Linked DNA regions of Drosophila melanogaster. The protein of the gene in region 1 interacts with the protein of each later gene in a pairwise test. Each region holds a gene or a part of one and is shown on either strand. Other genes may lie near its edges.

Region 1 (8,023 bases):
TTGCTGTTGCTGCTGCAGTTGCTGCTGCTGCTGCTGCTGCTGCTGCTGTTGCTGCTTCATGCGCGCCTGACTTTCGTGACTCATGGAGGACATGCTGCTGCCACCGCCAGTGGTTCTATAATGTCAAACAATGGCAATTTATAAAAATATATATACAATATATAACTAACATGAAGCAACATTTACAGCTTAAATCTACAGCGAATGCTGCTCAGTTGGCCAAGTGTAAAAACGTGCAATATTATAAATATTAGTGTTATGATTTGTAACATAACCAGGCCGAAAGCCATAAGCCAAACACTCGGAGAAAAGAAATGAAAATTATTTGAAGTATTTCCTCGTAATAAACAAGTTGCCTAAGCACCACGATCGTAAACAAAATTGGGGAATTTGTTTACACTATGCTACCAAGTCGCGGCCTGGCAAGTTCGACAAATATGAAAAGCCCTTCGAATAAATTGTTTATGCCGCCCGGCACATCTGTCAGTCCACCCATCACCATCATCATCAGTAGTCCCATTCCCATTCCCATTCCCATTCCCTAAACCATTCCCATTTCCATTTCCATTCCAGCTTCACATTCTCGGCATTTTGAAGTTCTTTTGTTTTTGAGTTATTGTTGCGTTATTTGAAGTTTTTCAATATTTTCCGGGAATATCTATGCCGAATGTCGACCGAATGTCTAGCTCCACTTTGGACATTTGTGTATTTCAAGTTTTGAAAAGTGGGTCAATTTGTTTATCATTTGTTATTATTATTACATATTTACATTTATACTACTTCTAGACGTTCGAAAATTGTGTACTATTATTATTATATATATTTTGAAATTTATTCATTCAGCATTTTGAAATGCTCGTGTCAAAAATCTAGAACTAATTTTAAGCACATGTTTTTTTTTTTTTTAACACAATGCTAGACAATCAAATTACTTTGCCACATTTTCGCAGACAAATGAAATCGCATTAAAATATAGTTGCAAGCTGATTTCAGCTTTCATAGTTAATAGGTAAAAATAAAAAAAAATTAAAATAACAAAAAGATTTGGAACTACTTACACATCGTTGGTGCCATCATCCCGAAAGCCTTTGGCGAATGGATTGCTGGAGATCTTCAGCTGTGTCACCTGCAAGACGGCCGGAAAATTGGTGGAAAATATTTTTATTCGACTGGAAAAGCGCTTGAGGCATGCCGACAAGCTGGCGGGCCAAACAAATAAATTAAATACCCAACAAATTAGTGAAAAAAAAATTAAAAAAAAAAAAAAATAATAAAAGAAAATATGTTTATGTGGCATATGTGGCATTCCGCTGGCGGCGGGGTAAAAATGATTTGCGATAAATTCGAGGGCGGGTGGAAAAAGTGTTAACACCCCCACATAAATAATTTAAATACTTGCCCCAACGATGTCTATGGTTATATTTTTAGCCACCCACAAAATTCCCTCCCCCCTCCCCCTCCCCCTGGCCATCATTATGAATCACAACCAAGACAAAAAAATGTGGAAAACCGAGGGTATACAATGTACATATGTATGTCGAGAGTTCTTTCAACTTGCGATTAGATATGCTGTTCACTGTTCATTACTAATATCAATGCACCCACCTGATATCAATCCCACCTGATAATCTTATCTTCCCCATTTTTCGAATGAAAGCCACAGTGCATTGGAAACGTGGTTTCTAAAATCTTGTGTATTTGTGTATGCTACTTTTTTATTTTTAATATTTTTTTTTTCGGGTTAGAGTATCTGCATGGTCTGTGCTCGCATTTCCAATTGCTGTTATATATACATATATATATTCGCTATGGTTGAAATTGTGCTAGCTTTGGCCGCCGTTTGTTATAAATTATGGGAAAAACATAAACAATAAGGCCAAAATGGCACAAAATGGTCGCGGCCTTTTTGGCCGCTTCGAATGCCAAGATGAACTTATTGATAATACATATAAATCATTATGGTAAATGTTTACAAATAGCAACCAGCATATTTCGATTAACAATATATATCATATATTAACAATATATATATCATATATATATCATGCTCACCCGCTGATTCTGGTAGGCAGTTACGGCCGTAAAGCTCGTTTCCGGAAAGATGAAAGTGCGAAAGTGGCTGGAGTGCTCGTTCTCATCCAAGGAGGCGTTCTTCGGTGGCAGATAAACCAGATGGAAACGCGGCTGGTAGCGATGCATGGAGTTCAGAATGATCTGGAGATGAAGAGGCAGGATTTGAATATACCTATTTATCTATCTATCTAACTATCTATATATCTATCTATCTATCTATATAAGTAATGAAACGTACATGTCCATTTTCGTCCAGCTGGTTATTGGTGAGCTTCAATTTGTCAAAGGACACGATCTGCTTCATCCAATTGGAGCCGACGGCTGGCGAGTCGGGATGCACATGAATCCTGGGCGGGGAAATGGGATCCGCCTTGCCAGCCACCACCCAGCAGGAGCTGTTGCAAATTGAAGTGCATCATTTTCATCGAATTCCATGTGGCCATGGCTTTTTAACATTAACTTACTTGTGAAAGGCGTAGCGATAGCGTTTGTCATCCATGGGCACAAAGTCCATCATGCAAATGTAGGTGGCATGTGGATCCAAACCACCGATCCTCACCTGAAACGTGGGAAACATGCGTCGGCCCGTCTTGGTGATGATCATTTCGGTGCCCTGGGCATGGAACTGATCCCACAGCGCCTTCGTCTCCAGCACCACAATGGCCTGGGCCAGCGATGGATGCACTGGCTCCGATTCCTTAATTATCAATTGGAAATCATATATTTTAAATGATCTATTATTTATTTCGTTTCCCATCGTTGAATTTACTTACACCTTTGCTGATATTATGGCTATTGGGCTTCACTGTACCGTTCTCCGCACTGTTGTTGTCTTTTTTGTGCTGTCCCTTGAACTTTTTGGACGCGGTGGATGCACTGACTCCGCCAGCTGATGTCGTTGTGACTGCCGTGCCGCCGGCTGTTGGTGCCATCGAGGCTTCACTGTGTACGCCGGCATAATCGGTTGGCAGCGATACGGACGACGATGACGACGACGACGACTGATCCGGGCAACTGGGATTCGAGATGCTGCTGGTGCTGCTGTTGCTGTTCGCGGTGCCAGTGCTGCCTGTACTGTGCGTCTCGATGTCCGCCAATTTGGCATCGATCTGCTCCAGCGGCTTGTACGAGCTGCGATCCTTGCCAGCCGTTTGGATGCAGGCTGCAGTGAAGCACAAGTTGGTGTTACAGTGCGGGTTAAAGTGGAGGTTAAGGTGTGGGTTAAAGTTGTGGTTAAAGTGCTGGTTAAAGTGGTGGTTAAAGTGCGGGTTAAAGTCGCGGTTAAAGTGGCGGTTAAGTAGTAAAAGTAATGTAACATAAAATGCTGCTCATTAAAAGTGAAGAATGATCAAGTAATCCATGTGGCTATGTAAAATATGTAAAAAATCTATACAAAACTCGATTTACTTTAAAGAAAACTATAGTTTGGATATCCCTATAAACTATCCTTATCCCTTTATAAACTAATTAATAATGAAGATATCTCAATTCAAGCCCCTGTATTTTTTCATATCCCACTGACAAATGGGCGGAAAATATGCGACTATAAATCAAACACGTAGCGCGTATAAATTCTATAGCAAGTGAATGGGTTTTATATATATAAAATATATATGCATGTATATAGCTGCTGGGATTTGCTAATTTCATACTCAATGTGATTTATGCGATTTAAATGAGAAAGTGGGGCAGAAAGCACGTAGACGCCACGCCGGCGCAGATTTCTCACTTCTGGAGCTCGCAGTTCACAGTTCTGAATTCTGATTAAAGGAGTCTTGTAATAATATCACTTGATGATATATCCACACACCGACTTCTTTTTTTTTGTTTTTTTTGTTTTTTGTACGTTTCGAGTTGCGAGTTTGGGGCAAATGGGACAACATGTCCAATTATAAAAGAGGCGTCTGAGTAGCGGCGGCTGCTGATTGAGTTGCATGCTCTAAATTTAGGATCTCCCCTTTTCGGGGGATGCCTGTAAAATGGTATGGTATGGTATGGTATGGGATTGCATGGGATGAGATGAGATTTTCAGCAATTAATTGTCACTGGGCTCGCAGTTGCGGGAATTGCCGCAATGGCAATCAATGCCGCGAATGACCCATGACAGGTCATTTAGCCGCTTTAGCGCTAAATAGTTGCCCATTTTCCTCGATTTTTTTTTTTTAGCATTTTTTGCTGCACGAATGAATTCTAAAATCAATTAACGTTTGGCACAACAAATCGTTTTTCTGTCACATGCACAACATCAAACAACAACAAACACGAGAGAAATGCCACTTGAAATCTCGGGGATCCGGGAATTCTGAGCTAATTGATCGGGTTTTCTGGTTTTCTGATCTTTTGGTTTTCCGATTCTCTGGTTTTCAGTTTCTCAGTTTCTCAGTTTTTTTTTTTTTAAACTTTTGGATGTCATTTGTGCCGCCGCTGCCATGCTCGGTGTATTTTGCTAATTACTCTATCGCAAACGGATTCCATTTCAGTTTTTTGGGTCACTTGCAGGCAGACAAATGATATGGAATATATACATTTGTTTGCTAGCAAAATTCCATTGCCTGATTTTTGAACAAAAAACATAATATCGAATAGTCAAATGGAAAATATGACTTTTTTGTTGCTTCGCCTTTTGTTTGCTACGCGATACTTCTTTGATAAATATTTAAAGCATATATTTGAATTTAAGAAGTTTTAGTTGTACATTCGATTGAACTGAAAGGTAAAGCTAATAAAATCTTGGAAAAATATGTTTAACTAGTAGTATGCTAATATAAACTAAAAGCCTATTTTCTAGTTTAAGTTTTGAAACAGATAGTAAAAAAAAAATATACTTTACAGGACTTAAAAGTCTAAACAAAAGTAAAAGTTCATGCAAAAGTTATAACATATTAAAAATCTACTTGTATGCTTGTTTGCGACTTTTAAAGGTACACAACCTAATATCTTAATATCCGATTTAAAATACTCCGCGGTAGAGTTGCCTAATCCTCTCCAGCTTAAGTCAACTCAAACGACTCACCTTCGATCTGCTTCATGGGACTGAGTCCGCCGGTCATGTACGGCGATGTCCAGTAGTCGTTGCCATAGCAGTTGTAGTCCGTTAGGCTGGTGTCCAGGAACTGCATGGATGTGGTGGTCATCATGGCGCCGGCGCACTCAGTGGGGCCCATCAGGTGCGTCATGGCGAGCGTGATCGTTGGAATATATATATATATGATATATATATATGATGGCTGGATATGTGATGCTCACAGTGGAAGAAAGGAAATCGCAGCGAGTTCTTGGCCCATTTATTCCATTTATTCCGGCACAATTTGTTTTGATCTCGAACGTTATTCGCGCAGTTGTCAAATTTGATTATTGCACCCACACACAATCACTCACTCATTCACTCACTCACTCACTCACTGTGCACTGCAAAAAAAAAGTATGTAGTGGTGCGAAAATCCAACGCCAACCTTTCGCTGTTGTCAATCAGAATCGAGATCGAGTTCAAGAATCGAATGAAAAATCAAATTAATTCTCTTCGAATTGTTTTTATGGCCCGATCGCGTTGACTGGCGAAAATTTGCCCGATTGTAGTTTTTTGTTTTTTGTTTTTTTGTTTTTTGTTTTTAATTCCCTGTGTTAGCTGATTGATTGACTTGAACTTCTTTTATTTGTTTTCTTTCTAATTCGACTGGCAGAAAGCGTTGAGTTGTCTCAATTGCCACCTTCTTCCGGCCAAGTGCGAACTGATTATCCCGTATAGTATCCTATGTTTATATCTCGCGGATATATCGATCTGATCTGATTTCGAATGCGATCTCTGGATGCCTAGATCTCTGATCACGCACACATCCGTTCCGTCAAGCGCTGGTCCGCCGAATGAGAACAACTACTGCTGCGGCTGCTGCTGCTGCTGCTGCTGGGCAGATGCATCGCTGCCTCTCGAGATCCCAAGATGCCGCATTGTACGGACCATCTCCCCAAATCGAGAAATCTATCCGCCAATCGCCGGCCGCAGCATCCAAATTTAGACTCGCCAGCCGCACCAATCGATCCACCAATGGCCGCACGGCCACCTCCTCCTCCTCCATCTCCTCCTCCTCCTCCTTCTCCTTCTCCTCCTTCTACTCCTCCTTGGATCGCACCGACATGTGTTGGCTCGCCTGGGATCTAGCCTAGTATCAAGTGGATGAATATGCCGCGCAGAATTGAGCGTAGGGTGCGCGCAAGGCATTTACCAGATGTGGCTACAGTGAGGCCTAGAACTTGGTGAACACTTGGGGTTTGCTATCTGCAACTCTTTGTTTGGTTTTATGCAAACTATGCTTAACATAGTTATATTTATGTAATCTAATTTGATCATATTAATAACTTAATGCATGTAAATAGTATAGAGGTATCCTTTAGAGTATATAGATCACTGTACTCTCCACACGTTTCACTAATTTCTGCTCCACTGTTTACTTCTCTCTTGTTTTTTTTTTTTTTTTTGAAGGGGCGTGGTCTTTGACCATAAACAGCAGGCGGTGGAGAAGATCAAGAAGGAGGAGGAGCAGGTGATCCCCACTTTTGCATATTGTTTTCTTCATTCTCTTTTTTTTCAGGGGGGCGCGCTGATCAGTGGGCGTGGCCCGTGGAGTGGGTGGCCGACCAGAGTCATGGGCCTCATTTGGAAAACGCTTTTAATTGGACTGCCGCACGCATGGTGGTGCTGGTTGCTCGTGGATCTCGCGGTGCTCCGCTCAATGCTGCAGTGCAGCCGAGATGTTGCTGCTGCTGTTGGCCATAAATACAAATTGCGCCATAACCTCGACACTAAATAAACCGTAAAAAGGAAAACGGAATATTAAGACGTTGGCAAGGCGCACCCAAAAAATTCAATTCATTTGGAATAATCATAAGTTTTTGGAAAAAATTGCATTAAACATAAGAAATACGAAGAGAATATGAATTAATACTTAATACATAAAAAAAAGGATTACTGCTAATTTTTCATACGAAATTTGAATTAGCTGTGAGCAACATTTGCGCTCAGTGTAGCGGCGGCCACCACCTCCGCCACAAGAGGGAGTGAGATGGGCGGTCGAAAATGGCGTCTGTTGGCCATTGGAGCCCGGAATGTGGGCCCAGCGGAGATGGAGATCCGGGGAAGCCGAGAAAACTGGACCGATCAAAGTGAAACAGCCCGATTAACCGGGTGCGTCTGCTTTTCATCAGCCACGGCCATTCCAATTAGTGGGTACATACATATGTATACATATAGATGGTATATCTATTATATATAGCATGTAGTAGTATATGTTACCTGGCACACGGGGTCTCCAAGTGAATCGATTTGTTTACCCTCCCTCCTACTCACCCCTTCCATATAAATCTACGCATCCAGTTGCGTCCTGGATTTATGGAACAACTGCTTGTTAATGTTTTTCCCTGATTTTCGTTTGCCGCACTACTGTTTACAATTATTTTGAGTTAATTTTTTTTCCCCTTTTTTTTGGCATTTTCAGAAGCATTTCGATCGCAGCAGATCGTACCATGCAGTCCATAAATAATACATAAATTTGAAAAATTGTTATGGCATTGGCCATGCCATTTTAGTCGTTAATTATTTGTTTGAGTGTAAACAATTGGAAATGAAATGCTAACTGCTTCGAAGAAATTACTTAAATGATTCATAAATTCGATATTCGATCTTTTTTATCGATTATATAAATATTATATATAAATGAGTGTAATGCATTTGTTGTAAAATTTCCATCATGGACGAAATCGACTAAAGGTTTATTATTGTATCGTAAATTTAGATTCCAAATCGAAGCGTTTGGCTTAAAGGAATTTCGAAATTAAATGACGACTAAATATTTTTAATTTAAGATAATTTACAACAGTCTACTTCTCATTGTCGTTATTCGTGGCCTTCTTCTTGAGATCCAGAGAATCCATGAGATCCAATGGAGCAATCCAGCTC
Region 2 (5,171 bases), on another chromosome or scaffold:
TTATCCTGCCAACCTTGTGACGCATTATGTTACGTACAAATTCGATTGGTTTTGGATACACGCAGTGTCGGAGTCCTGTGAACCCGCCACATGTGGGCGCACTGCAGCAATGTGGAATTTCCATATTGTATGGCACGCAGTTTGGGGCACTTGTTGTTGGCCGCATTTGGACTGTTTAAATCGACGGGAATTGCAATGCGTTGCGCACCTTGTTAAGCCGCCGCTGATGTGGATGTGTGCCCGCCCACATCCCTGCCAATTTGTAGCCATCAACTTTGTTGCCACGGCATTGCGCCCCCAAAAACTCGCACCAGCAATCGTATTTATCTAATAGTCCTTTCTGCTGCCGCTGTCACAGTTGTCTTCGTCTGGATCCAGCCACTACTGCCATTCCTACCATTCCTGCTCCTGCTCCTCGCTGGCTCCCTCCTCCGTTTTCCGCTGGCCTGGCTTATTATTTGCCACGACTGCTGCGCCGCAGAAGTTTCGCCTCGTTGGTGTTATGATTTCGATGCGGGCAGCCGAATGGCAAAGTCAGCGACAGCAAACACCCACACGCCCGCTCATCCATCCATCCATTCAGCCATCCCACCCCCACTGACCCCGCACGACCCACAGCCAGTCGGTCGAAGGAGCAGGAGCTGCTTCGTCGCCCGCAGGCCACAACCCCGTACCAGATCCCGGCTCCGGCTAACCCGCCGTTGACGCAGTCCACCCAGTGAACAAAGTGTGCAGCACGTTTTCGGTCGACAGTTTGTTGTGGCGAGAAAAAAAGGTAATATGAATGATTTGGAATCAAATAAATATTTTGCTTAAAATAAAAACTAATTAAGTCTTGCAATCTAATAATAAGTTATTCATTTAGCCTGCTTTAGTTAATCAATTAAATTGTTAGCCTACACCATGCCCTGAAAAGTATGCTTTGCATTTTCTGCCAAAATAACCCTCATCCGCCATGTGTGCTGGGTTGTTTCATATTTGCGCCTAAGCGAATTGATTTGTATGCCTGTGTATGAGTGAGTTCCTGTGTCTGTGACTGAGGGTGTGCCAGTGTGTGTGTGTGTGTGTGTGTGAAAGCCAGACATGGTCACGCCGTCCGTCCAAATGGCGGCACGTCGATCCGGCTTGTCGCTTGGGCTGCCTGACATTTGCCGCAGCCAGCGCGCCACCAATCCCTCATCCCCTTGCTACACTCAGCCCCCTCCCTCCGCCCACGGGCCCATCCACCCAACGCCCACTGGCAACATGCCTCCGCTGCGTCGTTAAGCTCTTCGCCAAATCTATGTGTGTTTGTGTATGTGTGTGGAGGTCGGTGGGGCAACCATTACCACAACCACCATTAACGTGGCAGGCAGCCAGGCGTTGCTGTTGCTGCCACATCCACAGGCTTTGTTGCTGTTGCCGCTCCTGCTGATTGCTAGAGCTGTTGTTGTTGCTATTGTTGTTGTTGCTGCTGCTGTCGCTGATGTTTTTGTTGTTGTTCCTTTTATTGTCGGTTGACTCCAATCTGCTTTGGTTGCTGCGCCACACGACGATGGCTCGTGCCACTGCCAACAGCAAAAGCAGCAGCAGCAGCAGCAACATGAGCTAACCAAGCATTTCAGTCGGGAAATTTTGCACAAGCCAAGCGCACGCGGCAGCGGAAAATCGGAAAACCCCATTGCCAGCCAGACAGCCGACAGGCGACGAAGTGAAAAGTCGCAATTGTTTCGCTGCTCGCCGTCAGTTAGCCGTGAATCCTCGAACAGAACGGACGCGTGTCCTCCTCGTCGAGTGGAATTTGAATCCTGATTCCACCACCAAAAAGACGTGATTGTTGGCGGGTGGATTCTAAACTGAAAGTTTCGAAAATATTAAACCCAAATCAAGCCAAATTGAGAAAACGAGGCATTTCATTCTAATTGACGACGGGCAACGAATTCTTTTGGATTTCGTAAAAATGAGAAAATGACAGCAAAACGTGATAAGGATTACTCAAAAAATAAATCAGCACCTGGTAATAAACAAGTTTGTGCTTTATAAGTTGAATTCTATCAGAAAATAGGACTTAGAAGTTCAAAATGATAAGCTGCTCTTTTAAACGTGTCCTAAACTTCTAAAGTGAAATGTGACTAATAAATATTTGGCAAACAAAATTATAGAAAACAAGTTTCCACAAAAAAAAAACGTCCCACATGGCTCACCATTGTTTAATATATTTATATTTACTTAGTGACCATTAAACAAAAGTTAAAATAATAGAAAACATACTTTTGCAAAGAAAAAGCCACCTGTGGCCAAGAAGTATCAAATTAAATAATTTTCAAACAATAAAAAATTTTTTTGATTACTTTTATAATAATCTTAAACAAAAAGCAAAATGAAATAAAAGCACCAAAGTGTCTTGAAACTAAACATGAAGCTCCATTATGCTCACAACTCGGAACTCGCAACCTCAACTCAAAAGAATTTCATTTGAGTTTGATGATATATAGATATAGATGTTTAATTTTAAAACCGAAGTTCGTTGAATCAACAAAAAATTGATAATAAGCAAAATAATGTAACTTGAAAAACTGAACATGAGAATTTCAACTTCAAAAAGTTCTGAAACGAACGAGATAACTTTGTTTATAAATGATTAAATTACAAAAAACTTTCAGGTTATAGCGATAATTGTATTAATTATTGACCCTTCTGTATTTCCGCCAGGCATCGGATTCACCGCCGCCGGCTCAACTAATGGCAGCGGCATAAAGTCCATCGGGCTGGTGAGCTCAACGCAGAATGTGACTTCGTCGCAGGACATCAGCAAGCGGACAAACAAACCACTCATGGAGAAGCGCCGGCGGGCGCGAATCAACCAGAGCCTGGCCATCCTGAAGGCCCTCATCCTCGAGTCCACCAAGACCCAAAATGCCAAGAACGGCGAGGGCCAGGCGAAGCACACCAAGCTGGAGAAGGCGGACATCCTGGAGCTAACCGTTCGCCACTTTCAGCGGCATCGCAATCTCGACGATCCCAGTAAGTTTCCATATAAAAGTAAAAATTTTCGTATTATGACTTTACATTTTCGCTACAAAATGTAATTTTATAAATACATCTTGAAGAACATATCTGTATCTAAAATAAAATTCATTAAATTTAGGACCTAGGCAAACTTCTTATATTGAAACTTAGATAATAACATTCAAATCCTGATTTTCTTTCAGCGGTTAACAAATACAGAGCTGGTTACACGGACTGCGCTCGCGAGGTGGCTCGTTACCTGGCCACCCCGGAACCGCCGCCCATGGGCACCATGCCCACCTTGGCGGAGCCCGGCTCCAAGGCGCGACTGCTGCGCCACCTGGACCAGTGCATAGCCGAGATCGACGTGGAGATCTGTCCCCATTCGACGGCCGCGTTTGCCGAAAGCCCCAGCAGTAGCAGTTGCTTCGACCTGAATCACGGGAAGAAGTCGCAGCCCGAGGAGCATTCGCTGGACTACAGCAGCCAGGATTCGAATCCAGTGGACTACAGCAAGGGTCTGAAAATGGTAGCCGCTGAGCAGAGGACGCTGCCCGTCACGCCAGCACCCCAGGATGAGAACAACAATCGTGGACTCCAGGCGCAGGCGCAAACTCCGATACCAATACAGGTGCAAAGCCAGACACAAGGCCAGACGTCGCCGCATGTAGATGCCGTCGCTCCCAGCGAGCTGAGCTACGAGGAGGATCGCAACAAGGTGTGCGCCAATGTCCTGGAGCAGTACAAGCAACAGCTTAAGGCGCACGTGCAGCAGCAACCAGAGTCCGCCAACGGAGTCCTGGTCCTGCCGCCCCACTATGTCCAGCTGGCAGCGGCCCTTGGCCTTAGTGCCCAGCCGCTGGTGGATCCGATTGCTACCCGAACGGATTTTGAGCGGTTGATAGAGTTGCAACGGGTTCAACCACATTTGGCCGGCAAGTTGAGTCCCAGTTTTCCGGGAGGCTTGGAGGCTGCCCATGTCGCTGCCGCAGCAGCGGCTTATGCCAACAGCATGGCTGTGGCCGCTTCAGCAGGAGCCTCAGTTGCGGCAATGGCTACTTCCGGTGCCGGAACGCCAACGGTGCACCAAGAGAGACCTGCCTCGGTGGCAGCGTCTGTCAGTTCCGGCGTCTCGATGTCGGAACTGAAGTCCATGCCCGCCACGCAGCAATCCTCACCAAGATCCGAGAGTGGCATCGGTTCCAATGAGAACGAGGCTCCGGCGACCAGTCCGCGACCCCAGACAAGCAACGCCGCTCGTCAGGCTCTAAGGCAACGCCAGGAGGAGGAGTATCACTACATGGCCCAGGCGGCAGCTGCTGCAGCAGCAGCTGGGCAAGATGAGAGCATGTGGCGACCCTGGTGAGCCGTTAGGTCAGAGATCCTACGTACTAAGTATGTAGACACCACCAGTTAGTTAGGGGAGAACCAGCCGGCAGCCGGCGGTTTGCTGCCCCCACTGATCGCCAAGTAGAGGATGACACCTATTGTTATTACCGCTCGTCTGTGTAGCTCCTGCATCTCTCCAAATTGCATTTCCAACCTGTGCCAACGCCCAAGACTCTCTACAAGATGGGTTCCAGAGCCAAGGAGAGCTACCCTTTCATTTATGTATGCATTTGTTTTTGCCCTGAACTCTGCGTTAAATGTATTTAATTCAATACATAAAGCAAAAATATTTACAAAAAAACTTGAATTCTGTTTTGAAAGTGGTCGGGGTACGGGAAAAATTACGTTCTTGTTTTTGGTAATTCTATTGAATCATTTTAGCAATTTTATTAAGGTATGTACTATAAATACGATATAGATCCTTGCGGAGGTCCAATAAATACTTGTATTATATATTAGTTATATAAGTTTTCAAACAAGAAATGAGACTTAGCCTACTCTTCAGGTTCATGCTTTCTACTTTGATTTCATTGCACTTAGGGATTTGCGGGGCGCGGACTGCCGCTGGCGGGCAAGGAATGTCTGGCCAGAGCCCATCAATATTGCCAGCTTAGAGTCGATTGCATCACGCTGGGCATTGACACCCAGTCTGTAGAAAGCGGAGGTCATGAGTTGCTCCTCCATCACACTCATCTTCGGCTTGGGCTCCTCCTCGACGAGATCAGCACTCTTTTCCAGTACGCTAGCATCCAGAGCTGAAATTTCAACAATTATTGTAAATTTTTGTTATATTT
Region 3 (4,470 bases), about 10 Mb from region 1:
CATAGCCCAAATCACATGTTGCAGTCGTCAAGTCTTGGATCGGTTGATTGTGGTCTAGCAGGTTTTTGATATAATCGCTATAACCACCATGTGCCTTTTGTACATGCCTCCTGTTTGACCAGTCGCTCTCTTTTCAGTCAGTCAGTCGGTCATAGAGCACTCACTTTGGTGATGCAAATCCAGCTATTAGTCTCATTTAGCTACTTGACTTTAATTAAATCTAAATCTAAAATTATGAAATTAAATCTTTTTTCGATTACTGAACATGCAAGCTTCAACTTCAAATCTGAAAGATATCCTAAGTATCCCAATTGGATTATTTAATACCTGTACAATACTTGTTCTAATTGGACAGCGTCTAGAACATCAAAGAGTACAGGAAAAATCACTTTAAGGTCTTATTAACACAAAAGATTATTGAGTTTTCTAGAAGTCTCCAACTGTTTTCAGCACAGTTTCAAGGAAATCCAGCCAAAGATTTGAAGTGAGCATCAGTAGACTTACATCAGCAAGAGATTAATATAAACAATTGCTTCTATTAGTCACAGCTTCGGACAGCACTGCTAATTTAAGCTACTTTCCAGCCAAATAGTCGGGACAATAGTTTGGCATCACTGTGCACAACACTAACACACACGCACACAGAAGCAGTGCATTTGCCGTTGGCCAGAGCGAGACAACAATAACAACAGAGTGGCACGAATGTGCGAATGCGAATGTAAATGTGAAAGTCTGCGCGCTCCTTTAATTTGCCGTTTTTCCTTTGCACCGCTCTTCCGATGTTACATTCATCTAATTATTACACTGCAAAAACGAAGATTTCGAACAACTCCAAATGCCAGCGCAGCATGTGTGTGTTTTTTGTTATTTCCCTTATTCTCAACTGCATGACGATCTGATGAAATATGTATGCGAGTGGGATTTCGAATTTGATGACGAAAGCAGGGCCGGGAATTACGGCAACAATTGCACTTATTCCATTGTACACACACAAAGGGGGATGACACTGGAAGGCGGACGCGTTGCTGACGGGTGGGGGGGTTGGATGGTGGAAGTGGTAGTGCTGGGTGGAGGGAGGGAGTCGGTTTCCAACTGGAAGTACGACCAAAAACTGACCTTCTCCTTCGACTCCTTCGCTGCTTTCAATTGACGGACGAGATCGCCTTGCACTTTGATTTGCTCCAGAATCTGCTCACGCGTATCACTCATATTCCGTGCTCGATGGCCAAAAATGAAAAACGGCAAACGGTTGACAGTCCACTGCAAAAGGCGGGCGCGCGGCGTTTCAATCGTCTCGAATCGACACGGCGATTTATGCTGTCTTTTCCAGCTTTCAGCTGCTTTTTCTGCGCTGCTGGCCAAAAAAAAAATTCGCACGCGGTGGTCAATGTGACCGTTCGTCGCGTGGTGGGAAAACGTGCGCTAGTGCGAACTCAAACCGTGGTTGATAACTGGGCTGGCGGACATGTAAAGTGTATAATTTATAATTTATTAACAACAATCAACACACGAATGCTGGCCACTGTTAGTAATATTAACTGCACTACAATTTATTAGCTAATTTTATCGTTTTTTTTTTTTTTTAAATAAAAATGTTCATGTCACTTGATTGCGTAAAGTTGATCTTGTTTGTTTTTTGTTTTAAACAAGTTCAAATAAGTTAAAATAAGTTGATTCGATTACAGCACAAACTTATCTATCCTAAAATCATTAAATAGAATATTTTTTGTCAAAACTACATATATTACAAATCATCAATTAAAAAAAATATATTTTTTTTTAAATAGCAAATCCTGAAATATTTTAAGAAGCGTTTTTTGTTTAAATTGTTGTTTATTGTTAAATTGTTTAAAAATCGAAAAATTCGAAATGAAATATAAGATTGGAAAAATGTTTTTTACTTCAACATTTAAAATTTCCCTGCCCAGCAGGCGATGTGCTTAGTTTCATTGGTATATATTTAAGCATCACCCTTAGATTCAGTATTCCTTCGACACCGACTGACTACAAACTGAAATTAAAAAAATAGCATTGAAAATTAATAAGACACGCTACACATACACAAACACACACGCACACCACACACGAGATGAACAAGCCGCAAAAGCCCATCAAGGTGAAGCGCGCCAAGCGGACCGGATGCTCCAGGATTCAGCCGCAGGAATTCGTGGAGGCTCAGGTGGAGAACGCGCGCAGGGCGGTGGAGCGCAAGCTGATCTACCTGTCCGAGTCGAACAGAGCCAGTGCATCCACTCGGGCGGCCAAGCGAAGCACGGCTGGCGCAGGCGGAGGAGCAGGGCGGGAAGGATCGAGCATGGCTGGCCATGCCCATGGTGAGCGTCGCAGGCGCAGCAAGAGGAGTCTGCTACACGCTCCAGCTCAGGAAGAGACCGACGAGGAGGAGAGTTCGCCGCTGGAGAAGACGAACAACTACGATAACAGAAGACGCAGCAGTTGCAATCGTAAGTTACAAATACATTTGCATATCGTCGATTTGGGATGCACCTTTCTATATGATCTTGGGTATTATTCAAGCTAGAGACACCAAATTTGGTATACAATACGTTATTGGTTATTAGAACTCTTTAAAATCTTGAAACAGCAGTATATATTTATCATCATTACATATATCATCTACTTAAGACCCTTCTTTCTATATGATCTTGGTGCTTAGTTAGGCAAGAGACACCAAATTTGGTGTACAGTACTTTATTGGTTTATTATACTCATATAAATCACGAAACATAAGTTTCAAGTGCAATTTATTTTAAAACAACGATTACAATTGTAGGTTATTAAATATAATCGATTTGGACACCTGTTATCTATATGATCTTGGGCCTTATTAAAGCTACTAACACCAAATTTGGTATATAGTACTTAACTGATTAATATAGTATATTAAAAGTGATATTAATTTAAGATCTCATATTGAGTTAACCAATTCTCCATTCTCCATTCTCCAACAGTATTGCTATCTCCTCGTCGCAATGGCCTCACGCCCCGGAACTACGAGGCCGAGGCCGAGGCAGCGGAAATGGAAGCCATTATGGCCGCACAGCAAGCCTCCAACGGAACGACGAAGCCCGATCATGATGAAGGAGATGGCGGGGAGTATCAGGGCGGACCGTTTGGCCGACTGCAGCTGAAGCCGCTGGGCAGCTATGCCACGGACCAGCAGCTGCCCAGCTACTCGTGCGGCGTGTGCGGTGCCAAGTTTCACATCCGATCGCTGCTGGGCGCCCACCGGCACACCCACGACGATGACTTCAAGGTGCGCTTCCGTGCACGGCGACCGCGGGAGAGCAGAACCACCCTGACCACCGTCCATTTGTGCAAGTACTGCGATCGCTCCTTCGACCTGGAACGCACGCTGCACATCCATCTGCTGAGCTACTGCAAGAAGATACCGCCGCAGCAGCGCCGCAAGCTGGCCTTCACGGAACTGGCGCACGAGAAGAAGGCGCCGTTGCCCAACTTTCAGCGGGCGCAGCAGCCGGTTCACCACCAGGGAAACAGTGCCACCAACCAGCAGGATCAGATGACCCAGCAGGAAAAACTTCAGAAGATTATCATGCGCGAGTCGGCAGTGCACGAGCGCTGGCGCTAGTCGTCCTCATTACCAATCTTCACCAGAAACTGGATGCAGAACCAACGCTTGCTTCCAAACACCAGAAGAATCCATTGAAACGAAAGGAAAATTGTCAAGTGCAGGGCGTATGCAGCTCAACTGTATTTGATTTGTTTACCAGGATCATCAAAATTTGTGGAATTGAAGGCAAAATTATTAGAAGTATGAATTGAGCACAATGACACGATTAGTGGGAGACTCACCTGTTCTGAAGACCGAAACACACACTGGCGTTGAATAGTCACATTCCACAAACGACGGTCAATTAAAACTAAATTAAGAGTCCCCAGCACGTTGATGCAAATGTATTGAATATAATTAAATATTTGAACTAAACAGAAGATTTACTTGCAATGAATTGTCATTTCTTAGATACTTGGCGGAAAGGTAAAAGAATCATAATCCATTGAGGCTTTAAAAGCATAATAAGATACTAAAATGGGTATATATATTTTTAAATTTATCGAAAAAATCGATGAGAAATCGCTTCCTCTCTAGTCCACTATCTAATATGTAAAGAAGAATGATATCGATGTATTACAGAAGCGCTTCGATACCCAGCTCGAGCAATCGATACGATAGCTGTGCATCGATACATTCGCTCAATGAAGCTGACTGCACGCACGTCCGTTGCGTCACCGGCGCTACCTTGCCTTACCGTTTACCGTTCACCGTTCACCGTTCCGTTCCGTGCCGAGCTTTGGCGGTCAAGCTCAAAGTTTCTGTGCGCTATCTCTTTCGCGCTTGCGGCGGCGGCGGTGGCGTTGGCGGTAGTGGGTCGTGTGCAGGGAATACAAGATAGGCGATGAGCGGCAACTCGGGCGGATCGAAGCCATCAG

The links. The genes of interacting proteins can lie anywhere in the genome.
Region 2: the proteins of org-1 (region 1) and Sidpn interact in a two-hybrid assay, tested with the Drosophila melanogaster proteins (one large-scale study listed by BioGRID).
Region 3: the proteins of org-1 (region 1) and CG6470 interact in a two-hybrid assay, tested with the Drosophila melanogaster proteins (one large-scale study listed by BioGRID).

The regions. Positions count from the first base shown.
Region 1 is NC_004354.4:8,449,046-8,457,068, forward strand, and holds the start of org-1 (optomotor-blind-related-gene-1), read right to left. Parts: upstream 6,025-8,023; 5' UTR 5,250-6,024; coding exon 5,087-5,249; intron 3,236-5,086; coding exon 2,847-3,235; intron 2,771-2,846; coding exon 2,538-2,770; intron 2,469-2,537; coding exon 2,312-2,468; intron 2,215-2,311; coding exon 2,053-2,214; intron 1,127-2,052; coding exon 1,059-1,126; intron 116-1,058; coding exon 1-115. Other genes in the region: CG32713 (uncharacterized protein), read right to left, coding at 7,961-8,023.
Region 2 is NT_033779.5:19,026,110-19,031,280, forward strand, and holds Sidpn (uncharacterized protein), read left to right. Parts: upstream 1-1,600; 5' UTR 1,601-1,947; coding exon 1,948-1,996; intron 1,997-2,691; coding exon 2,692-3,003; intron 3,004-3,191; coding exon 3,192-4,354; 3' UTR 4,355-4,671; downstream 4,672-5,171. Other genes in the region: hook, read right to left, coding at 4,894-5,132.
Region 3 is NC_004354.4:18,512,329-18,516,798, reverse strand, and holds CG6470 (uncharacterized protein), read left to right. Parts: upstream 1-1,931; 5' UTR 1,932-2,089; coding exon 2,090-2,462; intron 2,463-2,969; coding exon 2,970-3,610; 3' UTR 3,611-3,970; downstream 3,971-4,470. Other genes in the region: HisRS (Histidyl-tRNA synthetase), read right to left, coding at 1,117-1,209.